Styela clava: one gene and its partner. The protein of the gene in region 2 binds, or shares a complex with, the protein of the main gene of each other region. Links are inferred from orthologs where the notes say so. Each region holds a gene or a part of one and is shown on either strand. Other genes may lie near its edges.

Region 1 (7,221 bases), on a different chromosome or scaffold from region 2:
CCAAATCGCCATTCTTCTTTTCAAGTCAGGATAAAACCCGTAACAAACATTATGATACTTATCATAAATACATGTACAATTCACTGTTCACTGAGTGTTTCCTATTGTGCTCACTGTGCAATGTGATCAACAATTTTGCTGTCTTTGATGTAAAAATTTTCTACTTTATTTCTATTCCATTTTGTATAACTCTGTCTAGTTATTTTCGTCTTCAAAGCGACGTGTGATGTAAATCCTAGCGATATCATATTTGACTGAGACAAGTAGTGAGATAGTAGTGAACTGGCGAGTTTGAAAACACCGATTAGTAAGCTTTACATAGTTAGATTCGAATAATTATGGTTTATTTTTATGCCATTTCAAAATATCTGCGCTTTACATCTGGGCTGTTATCAACTTACCGTCTCGCTTTCCTGGCGTAATGAGCGAAAATATTTTTATGACTTGATAAAATTTACGTTTGTCTCCCCAAGAAGTTAGATATTGCTCCACAATTTTCAGATTCGCAATTATTAAATTTACACGACCTCAAGCTACAGGAGTAAAAACATTAGCGCCAGTGTTATGGGGACTACCTTGTGAACTCAAATAGCACCAGCTTAATCATATTACAACTCTGATGAAATGTAGTCTTCAAGACAATTACAGTAGATTCATAGAATACGGACGTCAGGTCGGGTATAAAATTAGCAGACCAGTTAGGTACATACGGACCAGCAAACGTATCAGCCATTACCACTGTATTTGACGCAGAGGTAGTCAGTCACGCGATGGAAATCGTATTTCCTAACGCTCATCACGGTACATCAGAAGATTGCTTTTAAATTCATAGCCTTAATCGTTCGGTTACGTCTGTTTTCAATTTCAAGACAATCCAGACGATAGGCATACTAGGTAATATATATATTAGCACAGATCTTGATGTCGAGGATATTTGCCAATTCTTGTACTGTCACTTGTCCACTCAAGCTGTGCAATTAATTAATATGTAAAAAAAACTTGAAGAGAAGTGTCATTAGAAAATTGAGCCATAAGAATGTAAACATTATCTTTGTGCATAGATGATGCAATAGAAAATATTGCGAAGTACAGAATTTTCTGTGGGACCTTGAGTGTGTTTGGATGTACAATCTCAATTTTTATAAGATAGGCTAATGCGCCATAATTGTTTCAAGAATCAACATTTGCATTTATTTTTGAAGTTTGTTTTTCTAGTTATTTGGGTATCTAAGGATAATTTTGCTGTCATTGCATCGATCTCAGGATCTATATTTAAATTCCGTGTTTCCTAAGAACCACCAACGATTTGTCGTACAAAATCAAGCAGAACGACAAAATATATATCGTCACGCTAATAACCGAATTGCGTAAGTCATTTTTCGCAGTTTTGAGAAAAACGTAAAAAACTTCCTAATGATATTGTTATGCCATTGAGAGTCAATAATTTGCCATGGTTCAATTTTTTTTATCGTAGTCGGATTTAAGTTAATTTGTATGACGCAGTTAAGTGACGTCATAATGGCGCACTGTGACTTAGGCAGAAATGTGTCTATGACTTGGGGACTAACGCAATTTTGCAACTTCACTATATGCACCAGTCTTGAAAACTAAACATTCCAAAAACGAATATAATTCTCAGTATCTACAATGTCTTATCCCCAAAATAGCTAATCAGTTCCAATTAAATTATTTTTTATGTTTAAAAATAAAGCCAACCAAGGTAAATTGGACTCGGGACAGTAAATATCACAAGTGCACGTCTTCCTATACTGTAGTAAAAATTCAAATTAATACGCGCTAAGCTAGAATCCGAGAGGCAAAAACTCAAAAATACGTCGCCGAGGTTATTTTGCTTTTGTGACGTCACAATAGTCCTGCGGTAACACTGATAATTCATTATGACGAAACAATTGCACAAATGTGCATGTCATACTAAATCTCCATGGGTTTCGGAATTCCTAAAATAAAATCTGAGTTAACCGAAAGGTGCGCAGCATTACATAAATACCCATTTTATAAAAAACTCAAAATCGCCAAAAAGGACTCACGCAATTCGGTTATTAGCGTTACGATATTTTCCATGATTTTTTTTTTTGTCTCATATCGCTTAACTACGTATATATATGTCATCAACAGAAACCTCAAATTTTCTCCGATTTGCCTGAACAACAAAATTAATTTTTCCTAAATTTCCAATATGATGTCTAATGTGATGTTGGTAAAAAACAAATCTTACAGTTTAATTGAGCTTTCAGAAACATATTTCGTCCAGTCATTAACAATTTCAAATTTCTTCCTCAGATTATTATACCAAGGATTGAAATAATTAGATGCAAATTCCAATCCGCACGGCGAAGATAATTATCCGTATTAGGTTAATAATAAGAGTTCCTGCATGTGACGTGTCACGCTATTACGTTTGTTATTAATATTGATTCGCTGTTTAATTAAGGTGTATAAACACTGCTTGATATCTTTTCAGTGAGGTTTTAGGATTGTATTCTGTACTATTGTCGAAAACTACAATAAAATCTATAAGTCTGTCTACTCATCAAAGTTGGGGGTAACCCATGCTGTGATCGTTGGTACAGAAACGAATTACGAGTTTGGGACAAAACTTTTGTCAGAAAATTCTGGGTCATCTAATACAATTCTGACCAACAAATCGTATGTTGACACTTGACAGAATTCATCACTAGATATTGCGCTGCTACAGCGTAGATAAAAATGCTATTTTAAGTAATTATCAGAGCCGTGCTGCAACCTTTAGAAGACCATTACATCAATATTCTTCGAATGTTAGACAATTTTCAAGTTGTCCCGAACCGTATTGATCAAGTTTGTTACGAAACATCGAAAAAATCTCAGGTTTGGGCTCATTCATGATCAGGGAATGTTACGAACGATTTGAAATACACTTTTCGTGTTTTAATTCTTTGAAAAATAACAAATTGTCTCGGATCAAATACAATTAGAATTGACTACAAATCAATATAAAATTACTACACATTATGCTAGAAAAATAATTGGCCCAGTGATTTTTTGTCCCTTCCAGCATAAAAATTATTCACGAACAGCTATTGTCGTATGTTCTTTTTTTTGTTTGATTGTAACATCAACAAAACTTGAGCAAATAAAGTATAGGGATAGTTTATTTCAAAGCTCATGTTTTGTGCATTGGTATACAGTAGCCTATATCTAGCACGCAATATCGTTTTCAAGTTTTATCCATTGTTAGTTGTTGGCAAGAGATGTAACTACTATTGTTGTGCTATTTTTATGTCCATATACTCTTTCAGTCACACGTATTGTCCTATCAGTACCGTTCTGATCAGTTTTTTAGGGAAGTTATATAAAGCCTTTTGGTATTTCAAAATTGCTTCCCGAGCAATACCGTGATATTTTCCTTTCTCGCGTTCGGTTGTGTTATGTCGCTTAAAATTACATTCTTTCTTGACAGCTATCACTTGAAAACACACCGGCCGCTGTGGTTTAACGTTGTTGTGGATAAGGGAATACGTTTTTTCATTAAACTCGTTGTATGATGAATTGTTATATTTGACTAATTTTATAACTCATAGATCGTGAGGCGCAACGTCAGCTATGTGGTTCGTCACTGCTGTCTTGAAAATAGAGTAGTCTTTTTATTGAAATGAAGGCACAAAACGTCTCGCGAGCTTAAGGCACTGATCTTAGATAAAATGACAATTCACTTCCTTGTACTGATAACAGGACGCCACGCGAGTTTGACATCCCTGGTTTAGTGCACGTTAAAATTGTTCTGGAGACGTACGAAATGTGTCGATGGGCAGCAGTTTGGACCACCCTAACCTAACAAATGATGTTTTGGCAGTTTTGCGGAAATTTAGATGTAAATCAAAATGCCTTCTTCCGAGTTCTGATTTACCGTGTTTCCCCGAAAATAGGACAGGGAATTATCTCAATTTTCTCTCGAAAAATAACACAGAGTGATCATTGAATTATCTGATTTAGATTTAAATTTCCGGAACACAACTGAAAAGAAAATCGATTTTATATTAATGAAGACGAAAATTACCAAGAACAACAACAAAATATCAAAACGATCCATAGGTCCACCCACTTGTCCAATAAACAATTCTGTGAGCTCCCGCTCGTGAAAGCACTTGCAAAACGAGCTTAAAAATTTAGCGAGGTCAAGGGTCGACTAAACAACAACAAATAACTTGTGCTCCAACCAAATGGCCCCCTAAAGGCGCCAGAGTACTGTAATGCATTCAGGTTGCAGGTTCGTGTTTTACTGTTTGTGATTTTTACTTAGTCTGCATTTCGCCATTTTCAAGCTGGGTAAGGCACGTTCAAGGAATACTGTGGAGATGAATACAACGCTTGTAAGCGATTTATCAGACGTGGAAAATCTTTGCCCGTCGCTGAATCTACATTTAAAGCCGTACGCTAAAGTTAATGTCTGCGTTGCGTTGCCGCAAATGAAGGTAAATTTTGAGAATGTAGAGCTGAGCTTCAACTGACGTAATCTACCATTGGCTGCATAATCCAGTAATGAGATAATGCAGTACGATAATGCATTGGACTTGCACCAAACCGCCTAACCCTGTAACCTCCATAACTTCTGGAGAAATGAATGAAATAGCCAATGAACACCTGTACAACACGCATATTTCGGCTTGTATTAACAAGCCAAAACATATGTCAATAAAAAAATATATGGGCCTCTTGAAATGTGAGACGCTTTAATAGGTACCTTTATCACGTTCTGTTTGCTCTGATTAATTGACTTGACCTATGTAAAAATCCACATCTGCATCATCTTCACCGTTTTGTAGACTGGACTGTGCATCAAAGCCCCAGTTGGGATGTTCCCTTTAAATAATTTTACACTTGTGTATTCAAGTGTTTCAAATTCTGTTAGTTTCACGCTAGGTTTTTCACGGGGCCTTGGTAGATTTGCATGTAGGCTCAGACATTTGGTGTGCATACGTCACTGATTGAACGCCAGGATTTTTCATTTGCACGCCTTATTTATTGGGAAGAAGGCCATGAAATCCAGACTGGTTGAAGGTGTAAGATCGCAGTTGTACATATTTGGCAGTACATATTCTGAAAATGATTATGTCTCTATGTCTCTTTTTTGTACTAAATGCTAAAATGACTGAACTATTGAGTGGGAGTGGTGACTCCTCTGCGGCCCATGGGCCGGGGCCACGGCCCATCGAATTGGGCCTCGGCCCATCAGGCTATGGGCCGCGGCCCATCAAGTTGTGTAAAGAAACTATTCACTTGGCTAACACAGACAGTCCCCGAACTCATAATAGAACTATAATGTAAAAAATCTGAATTTTTTTTGTCCTAACCCTAACCTGGTACACATACTACAGGAGTATATTTTTTTGGTTTGAATATTGACAATTTGGTAAAAATTGAAAATTTTGTTAAGATAATTGAATTTTTCCTGATGGGGCCATGTGGCCCAATTAGATGGGTCGTGGCCCCGGCCCATGGGCCGTAGAGGAGTCACCACTCCTGTAGGAACTATTCTCCCCAATCTGCCCTATTCATGTAAAAAGTTACTACCGAAAGACTGGCCTGGTCTATTCATATATAGCCTGATTGTATTTTGTTTTAGGCTTTGTTTTTGCGTACCTAACTTGATTTTATTTGTTTAGGTTGTTGGACAGACGATATCAAACTGGGAAGTAATGGAAAAGTTAAAAACAATGTGCACCCCTCACCAATTCACATTGCTTCGAGTGGCAAAGAGTAACTTGGAATTTGTTAGGTTGTAGTTTTATGATATACCTTGTTTTCTATTTAATTGGGGGTCAATTGTATACCAGATCTGATGTTTGGCAGAATTGTTTTACCTTGATTACATCGAAATGATTCTGTAAATTGTTTAAAATTATTGTTTTTTGTTGTCTAGATTTGAAGGTGAAGTGGAAAATAAATCACTAGTTTCTACATTTGTTTCAATGTTGGATGGAAAACATATCAAATTATCTGGGTTTTCGGGCTTGCTCAAGGTACAACAATTTTTATTTTGTTTTCATAAAGTGGTCCGTGTGACTTTATTAGAGCTTGACAATCCTTGCCTACATGAACTGTTCAAAAAATTGAGAGATCTCCAAAATTAGGGGTTCTCAAAACTGTTGAGTGTTAAGAGTTAAAAATGCACATCCCAATACCTTGTCTAGTTAATTATAACGGATTCAGTTTTTTCTTTGTGTACTTCTCAGCAAAATGATAAACAACCATAAATATAGATAAAATTGTAGCCCGAGAAATTCAAAATTGCATTTAGAAGGGTCACAAATTCAGAACTAGTTTGATGACATTATTACCGTATATGCTAACCGTATTATTATTACTGTACAACAGCAATCAAAATGCAAGAGTGCAATTATTTGTCATGGTAATAGATGGATAATACAAGTTCCACTGAAAGAAGGTATTGCCACCATAAGGACCCCCAATCCATTCCTGTGATTACTAACTCCACAGCTTCAAATCGATTCTAATTATAAAACTAGCGTTTTCTGTCGATACTAACTTTTTCTCATCGTGTACACTCTTGAAAAGTCATTTTAAATGTTACTCCGTATAATAACTTTTCAGTTATGACCATGCATGAAATGGCTAATCATATGGGAAATATTGGGAAACCAGTTATGCATGGGCGAGATCATAACCCAGATTGAGCTTACTATTGCGATACCCTGTTGATGTCGAAGCATAAAGACTAGCCATTGTCACAGTTTTGAATATCGCTTGAAAGAATATCCTGAGCTCAGTTAAAAATATGTTAAATAAATTACTGCTGATATTTGTACAGCTTTCTTATGTGAGAAAATTTTAAATGGTTTACCCGTCTGCAAAATTGGTTTTAAAATTTCATGGTCCGCAAGCTGAAAATAGTTGAAAACCATTGATTTAAAATAGCAGATTTTTCATTGTTGACCTTCTCTGCTCGCGTTTCTCTACATAACTCGAAAGTAATTAACACATCAAATAAATTGTGATGAAAAATATTAGCTAAATAAGTTGCATTTAACATCATTTAGGTGACATGTGGAGAAAGCAAAATACCATTTCCATCTCGTCATGACTGGGATTCATATTTTCGTGATTCAAAAGATTATGATGAGACTCAGCCAGGAGAACGTCCAGACACAGTACACATAAGCAATATACCCTGCAAATTTTTTATGCCAAAGGTGGGTATTG
Region 2 (7,882 bases):
ATTTGATTGGTCGACTTTAACATGAACTGTTTCATGCCTTCACTCCATACAAGGCTGTTCACAAGCAATCTTTTATTAGATAATGTGATCTCATACCCAGCATCTTTCCTGATGTGGAAATCAGATAATCAATGCTGAACTTAGAAAATCTAAACTTTAAATACAGAAACAATGATAAAATGAACATCCATTTTTTAATAGGAATATTTAGTTTGAGTCATAAAACTGATGGATAAAAAATACATCAATTTGGAATGTTCTAAACACTATATAGATATCCATGTATGATAGTTGACAGCACATACCCTGTAACATTGTTGCAATCTTATTGCAAATACTTGTAGCAAATTCCCCCGAATGTGAAGCAAATTGAATAGTTGCATATATTGCAGCTTCCTGCTCAACACGATCATGCGAATCCAAACCTTGTCTTATACTGTGGTGAACACTTTTTTCATCACTTATTATACAAGCAATACTGCCCAGCATCCTGAAAAATTACCAAGTCATTAACAGCTACCGGTAATTGAAATTGGCTAATTCAAATCTCATCTCACCCCCCACGCACACACACATCTACACCAGGGTGATTGACAGGGGTCCACCAGGGTGATTAACAGGGGTGTAGCCAGAAATTTTCATGGGGGGGGTTCTGAAATTTTTATTTGGCAAGTTAGATCGAAACAGCTAGCGGGACTAATCGACTCTAGAATACGCGTGTTTTTATTAGTCTTGAGGGTCTAAAAAGCATTTAAAGCTACGAAAAATTGCTATCTATGATACAGAAAAAAGATTTTATTTTTTTTACATTTCAAAAGGGGGGTTTCGACCCGCAAAACCACCCCTCTGGCTACGCCACTGGTAATTGATCAGGCAATTACAAGTCAGAAAGATCCCGGTCCTCCCAAATATTGTTAGAGATCAGTGGCAGCTCGTAAAGAGCCTTGCTAAGAGCGAACAAAGTGTGTGAGCATCATATTAAATAAAATAAAAAATGAGTAGTGAAATATAAGTAGTTAGCATGATGAAATACATTTGGTAAGGAATATAATTGTATTGATCCAGCTTTCGAAATAGGCCTACTAATGGTTCACAATGAATAGATTAAGATCCTAATTGCAACAAAAATGAACAAAAAAAAAATATTGAGATTGTATGCGATAGTCGGTCTGGTAGAACAAGGTTGAGGAACTCATTTTTAGAAAACCAACCTTAAAGTTATTGCTCTTGCATATGGATCATTGCTATGAATAACTACAGAAATTCTTCTTCTAAATTCTGTTATGTTGAGAATTTTATCAAGATGTTTATTGCTTTGCTGAGACACTCGAAGTATACAAAGACGAAGAAAATTATTCCTGAAAAAATAATTTGTCAGTTTGTCGATGTTTAAAAACCGAGAATTTCTATCCATAAGTATATACATAAAAATGATCGCTGCGATTTGTTCGAACTAACAAAAACTGTACCTACTTCGTGACAAATATGCTTTTAGAGAAATGATAAAAACCCTAATGTTTTATTAATCAAGATTCAAACTGAAAACCTGAATACGACAATAGATTGACTGCGCTTCATCTAACATCAAGTATCAAAATACGATGCTTGAGGGAAATATATGAAGAGATTCAGTTATAGTAGGCCTATATATATAAATACATATGTTGATTTACACATGTCAAATAAAATTGCTACACATTTCATAATTCTTCATGACTGTATCAGTGCATACCTATTTTCATTACTTCAAATGCTTGATCATCATTAATAAAAAAGGCTGCTTTACGCTACCGTTTTTACTAACACAATTAGTCTATAGCCTTAACCAAATTTATTTTTAAGAAATATTCATTTCTGATAAGGAATCTGATGTTTACCCAACACGAAACACATCTGCCAGCTTCAAGAATGCAGAGTTGATAAGAATTGGGAATGGAAATCTCTCAAATAATCCAGGAAATCGAACAATTGCTTCACATTGCTGGCCAACTTTTTGAGCACGAAGACCTTTGAAAGAATATTGAATAAAATAATATTTGAATATCAGGATACTGTGGTACTGTTATATAAGTATAAGTATAAGTTTATTTCGACTCCATAATCAGCAAAACAATAAAATGAATGCTAAAAATAAATAAATAAAAACTGATTATGAAATCAGGAGAGCGAACAAAACCTTAGATAAGGTTTAAAACGTACAGAATGTATATAAGATGGAAGGTTTTGCCAAGAAGATGTGGTACGTGTTCACTCACCTAAAATAATTGAAATATTTCACACACGCTCACACGCACCCACACACACAACCATATAGAAGTTATTAAGTAAAGGGAACATGAAAAATTACATACTGGTAGTTAATAAAAAATAAATAAATAAAAATTACTTGCCACACCATATGTTATGTTACATAAATTAAAAGATAGCAAAAATTCATGGCTCGGCGGTGTGGCGCTTCGTGCTAAGCATTACTGATATGCTCTGATTGCTCTGCGTGGATTCTCAGGTTCGAATCTTGCGGGGGATGGAATGGTGGTCGGTACAGCTTCCTCCACCATCAAGTTCATGCATCGAAAAACGAATACCTGACTGACTAATCCCATATTCGACATGGACTGGTAACCGAACGGGAGGCTGTGGTTCATCAATGGATTAAGCCGTTTTATTGACTTTGCTCTCCCCCAGGATAAATAAGTAAATCCTATCCTATATCTAACTCTTTACACTTACCAGTCTGCCAGTGAATTGCTAATATAGGACAGTAGGAACAGACTATTTTTGCACAGAAACAAGTAAAATAACTCCATATACTGATATACCCGGTACTGATATACTGATATATATACTATTTTCAATATTGTGTAAATGGTCATACAGTCACAAGTGAGATTGCCCATGTTATGTATCCATTATTCTATTTTGTTACATAAACATAAATCAAAACAATCCAAAACGTAAGCATACAAACAGTAGGCAAATATATTAACAATAGAATTTTACTTTTATGCCATGTTAAAACCTTATTATGCCATTTTTTGTACGATGGCGAGTTCAAATAAATTATTTTATGTTATTTATTTGTTCATATGTTGTATTCATTGTACTACTGACCTAAGAGTAGATTATTACAAGCAGGCTTACCTTTATCAAGTTCCATGAGCGCCGAGTTGGCATCTTGATTTTGTTCGTCCATCATGATTGACTTATGATTTGTAATGATAGGCAGACGCCAAAATATTCAAAGGAAAAGAGGAAGCCTGTTTACAGAATGGCTAGCGAAATGCGATGTGCTAAGTAGATCCTCTCGCCACGAGCAATCGTCTTGAGTGAAGTCATGCGTGCAGGTATCGTGAAATCACGTGTTATAATTGAAAGAGAAAAAAAGGGTGATCGTTCTCTTCGCGGGGGAATTCGGTTTGCGTATTCCATAATACTGTAATACGTACCGTAATACACTTGGGGAGGAATCCTTGGCATGGTTATGTTGAGCATAATTCAGTGATTTGGGGTTCATTATCGTCGACATATTATTATTATTCTGTGACATCGTCGTCCATAAACTTCCGGATTTTTTTGGTACACTCTCTGCATTTGAAACGCGATATCAGGATACTGGGATATGTGCTAAGTTAAAATTATCACGAGGATATAGCCTATTTCTGTATTTGAATATGGATAGCAAAAGTATGATTGCATAGTTTGCTGCAATGCATAAATTTGTCACTGAAGCACATTGTACAGGGCAGCTCTCTGCCTATGATTGGTGATGTAAAAATATTGTAAGAAATTGAAAAGTCTTAGAACAAACTTTTGTGCAATGAATAATTCATATCTGTTCCAGTTCACAATAATATCTGAATATGTGATGTAAAACTGTAATAGAGTAATGCCAGCTGTGTCTGTTCAATAGTTGCAGATTATTTCAGTATATACATATTTGTTTGGTACTTCAGTAGGCTACTGTAACAAACCAATGTTGCAATATGTCTGGTTTGAATGATGACTTTCCTGCGATTGATAGCACTGTACTGGATGATCTTGAACGGCAAACAGAAAAACTCTCTAACAGCCTTGGCAATATAGTTAAGAAACTGACTAATAAACTACACGAGACATCAGCAATTACTGTGGCTAATTCACAAACATATAGCAGTGCAATTGAAGCTATGGGAGTTGAGATTGATGACTCAATGAAATCGATGTACATGCTGATTGCTCATTGTGAGGAACTTGATAAAGCAATGGTTCCTGTGTATAAAGTTGGTCAAAGCATCAAAAAAATTCAAAATTCTCTGCTGATGCTAGAAGCTCAAGTTGCTCAAATACCATGATTACAGTTTTTTTTTATTCAGACTAGGAATCTTATGTATTAGTTTATGAGTCTTCGATAAAGTAATAATAACTAATTCTTAATATAAAATAATAAATATAGAATCATTTTGTTTTGACATTCAAATTTTTTTTTTATTTCAAAAAATTCCAAATTTTACATTATTGTTATGAATTGTGAAATACAATAATATACTGCTGTACTGATATACTGCTTATATATTTAATCAAATGAAACATGTCTATTCAAGTGTTATATTACATCAAAGCCATTTTTAATAGGCATTTCTATTTGCAGATTTCAACAAGTAATATTAACTAATTTGTAATTTCTATGCAAGTGTTAGGACAGAATTATGCATTTTATTGTTTTACCTAAGTTTTATTATTTATTTTCGATGGTTTGAATTTGTTTTTGCTTTGTTTGATTATTTAGGGTTGAGCCTGATTATTAATCTATTTATTTAACTTCGAATAATATTAAAAATATTAATTTGGTTTTACATCTGACAATGCTTTGATCTCAGTTTCAGTATTGTATTATATTCCTAATGGCCGAGGTAAGTTCCAGTAATTCAAACGATCATTCCCACAATCGTAAGGCTTTGACTGTAGGAACAAGATATTGTGGAACTGTCACAGTTTATAAAGAAGATAAAGGATATGGATTTTTTTCGGTCCCTAATCACGATAATGTATTTTTTCATATGACGACAATGCGAAATTGTGGTATTACATCAGGAATATCGAGGGGTGATAAATTTTGCTTCGATGTTAAAGAACACATTGGTCGTGATAGTAAACTGGATTTTAGAGCAGAAGCAGTTACAAGACTTGAACGAAATCATCAAATGCAGAACCAGGATAGCAGGAAACAACCTCACAAGCATGATAAACACCAACATGGCACGTATAGTAATGGTAACTCCGGAGCATTCGTTTCGATCCCACATCCTCATGATGTCAAAGTTCACGGTAAAAAAGAGGTTTCTTCGAAACATGGTGAAATAGTTGAAAAAAATTTGTACAGAGAAAAGCACGAACGGAGACCAAAACCGAAGCCTATAGATTTAAGCTCAGGAAAAATTCGTGTTGGTCCCCCATGCGTTGTTCCTGCAATGAGGAAAGGGCCAATTGTAGTCTCTGCCACTGGGCCTAATTCTGCTGGAATGGCCCCAAGACTAGAGGATCCTGAAGTTGTGAGACTGAAAGAGAACATTGGTAAGAAAAAAACACTTTTTCGCAGTTTAAAACTAGATAAACTTCCAGATGGTGGTAGAAGACTGAAAGATGAAATAAACAATTTGGAACTTGAACTGCAAAAATTATCCATGAAAAGCAAAAATAAAGATAAAAGTCATGATTCAACTCCTTCAAAACTCATTGACAAAGAGAATCAACTACCTCTTTCAAACGCTGATGCAATGCCTAAGCATACACGACCATGGTTAGAGTCATATTCAAGAAAGCCTGATGCTCAAGGTGCTGTAATGATAGCACCTCCTATGGCTTTTAACTCTGCTCCTGATAGGAAACTTACTCAAACAAAACTTACGTTCCCAAAAGCGGAACCATTTGGGGCGAGAACAGGAAAATTAGATCTTAGTGCATATGATATGGGTCCAATGCAATTTAACGATGGTCCGTTATATGGAGGAAGAATGACAAGTGCTCGTCTGACTGAAGTCCGTCAGGTAATATATTATACCATAGTTGTACTTCTAATCTTCTTGAGAATATTTCATATTGTAATCTAAAATTTAAAAGCTTAGCTTTTTATTATCGTTTTTCATTCAGTCAGCTGGTCAGCATTTTTATTGCCTAAATGTTTAAAATTATTCATACCCTAATTTTGGGTAGTATTTACTATTTAGTATCCGAGATATAACCAAATATTGAAATGAGTTTCATGATTATTATTATTATTCCCAGATAACAAAGGCTGCAATTGAGGACCTTCACAAGTCTCTGGAAACGAGACCTGAACCCACAGGAGAACTGGATGATCCTGAAGGCCTGAAGGTTAGATAAATGAATTCCATCAAAAGATGTATGCAAGTGTGGTCCATATAAAAACATTTCTTGATACTTGGTCATCTTCTAAGATTGAGTAAGAAAATGCAGTTTTGTGTAAACGCTAGGGCTGGGAATTTCAGGGAAACACCTCAGCATGACGTTTGACATAATAATTTATAATATTAACTTGTTACGTCACAATGGCTGCAAAGTAATTTCAGGTGGTCTTATCCCAGTATCAATCAAAATTATTCATGAAGCGAGATAGTTTCATGATTGCTCTTCTGCAAAATGATATGCAGCATGCTTTGCACATATGGAAGTATTTTAGTAAAACCCGATTCCATTATTAAATGTTATTTATGTGACAAATTTTCAGTGTTTGATGTGCAAATTCTATTTTGAGATACCATAAGAAAAACAGCATTACCTGCACACTTGTTGGATGACATTAAGTAGGCCTATATGATTTTGCAATAAAATTGTGAACTATAATATAGGCTACTTCGACCGAAAACTGATTCTGAATTTATCATTGTCAAATTTTCATAATCAGCAATATTTTTTTGAATTAAAATGCCGCAGAAGATAAATTTGCGATGACGTAATCATTTTTAAAAAATAGTACATTATAAAGAGGATTTGTACCCAAGATGTCAGTCAACGGTTAAAATAAATCAGGACCTCCTGAAGTATACGCACCAAGATGGCCCACAACCTGAACTCAGGTTGTGTACCAGGTTAGGGTTCAGGTTGTGCGACATCTTGGTGCGCATACTTCAGGAGTACCATAAATTATAACCATGAACGGTGAACCAAAACGTATATTGCACATATACTGAAATAAACCCTGTTTCTCTACAGGTAACATTAATGACCCATCAACGACAAGCACTTGCTTGGTTAGTGTGGAGAGAACAACAATCTATGTCTGGTGGAATTCTGGCTGATGATATGGGTCTTGGCAAAACTCTTACGATGATCTGTCTTATATTGAAACAAAGAGAATTGTCTGATGAAAACAAAGACACTAAAATCCAGATTAAAGAAGAGGATGACATCAAAGACTTTAATAGCTCAAGTGAATCAGACGATTCTGTTATTTTAATTGAAAATGAGAAAACTGAATCAAAAATCAAACGGGAAGTTAAAGGTGGCAGTAAAGAAGAAAGTGACATTGGTGAAACAGGTAATTGGATTTGTTTTTTGAAGCATGGTTGATTTACAATTGTAAGCTTTAGTATACATTCCACATTTTAAAAAAAAGAGCACACACCCAGGATAACTTTTTTATTTGAAGCTCTGAAATAATATAGATATACCGCAAATAAGTTATTTAGTTTCAAACTCATTCGGTATAATTAACATCTATCTGCTGTACAGTGATAGTAACAAAAAATTATTTATGAAATCATTCTATGTCTCTAATAAAACTTCTAAAGGACTGTTCTACAGTAGCAGTACTTCTCATAAAAATATACTCATATTGCGTATCTGCGTTGAAATTCCTAACATAATTTTGCTAATACTGGAATGA

Evidence for each region. The genes of interacting proteins can lie anywhere in the genome.
Region 1: transcription termination factor 2-like (region 2) and A-kinase anchor protein 17A-like share a complex: the UniProt entries of both Homo sapiens proteins name them as parts of the spliceosome. The link is inferred for Styela clava from reciprocal best matches to the Homo sapiens genes TTF2 and AKAP17A.

Annotation. Positions count from the first base shown.
Region 1 is NC_135263.1:13,032,213-13,039,433, reverse strand, and holds the start of A-kinase anchor protein 17A-like, read left to right. Parts: upstream 1-4,208; 5' UTR 4,209-4,355; coding exon 4,356-4,472; intron 4,473-5,663; coding exon 5,664-5,776; intron 5,777-5,920; coding exon 5,921-6,020; intron 6,021-7,058; coding exon 7,059-7,211; intron 7,212-7,221. Other genes in the region: dynein light chain 2, cytoplasmic, read left to right, coding at 1-34. UniProt on the Homo sapiens protein: Splice factor regulating alternative splice site selection for certain mRNA precursors. Mediates regulation of pre-mRNA splicing in a PKA-dependent manner.
Region 2 is NC_135253.1:7,957,330-7,965,211, reverse strand, and holds the start of transcription termination factor 2-like, read left to right. Parts: upstream 1-4,876; 5' UTR 4,877-4,880; coding exon 4,881-6,023; intron 6,024-6,261; coding exon 6,262-6,351; intron 6,352-7,209; coding exon 7,210-7,534; intron 7,535-7,882. Other genes in the region: integrator complex subunit 7-like, read right to left, coding at 306-490, 1,212-1,358, 1,878-2,007, 3,142-3,196; BLOC-1-related complex subunit 6-like, read left to right, coding at 3,984-4,331. UniProt on the Homo sapiens protein: DsDNA-dependent ATPase which acts as a transcription termination factor by coupling ATP hydrolysis with removal of RNA polymerase II from the DNA template. May contribute to mitotic transcription repression. May also be involved in pre-mRNA splicing.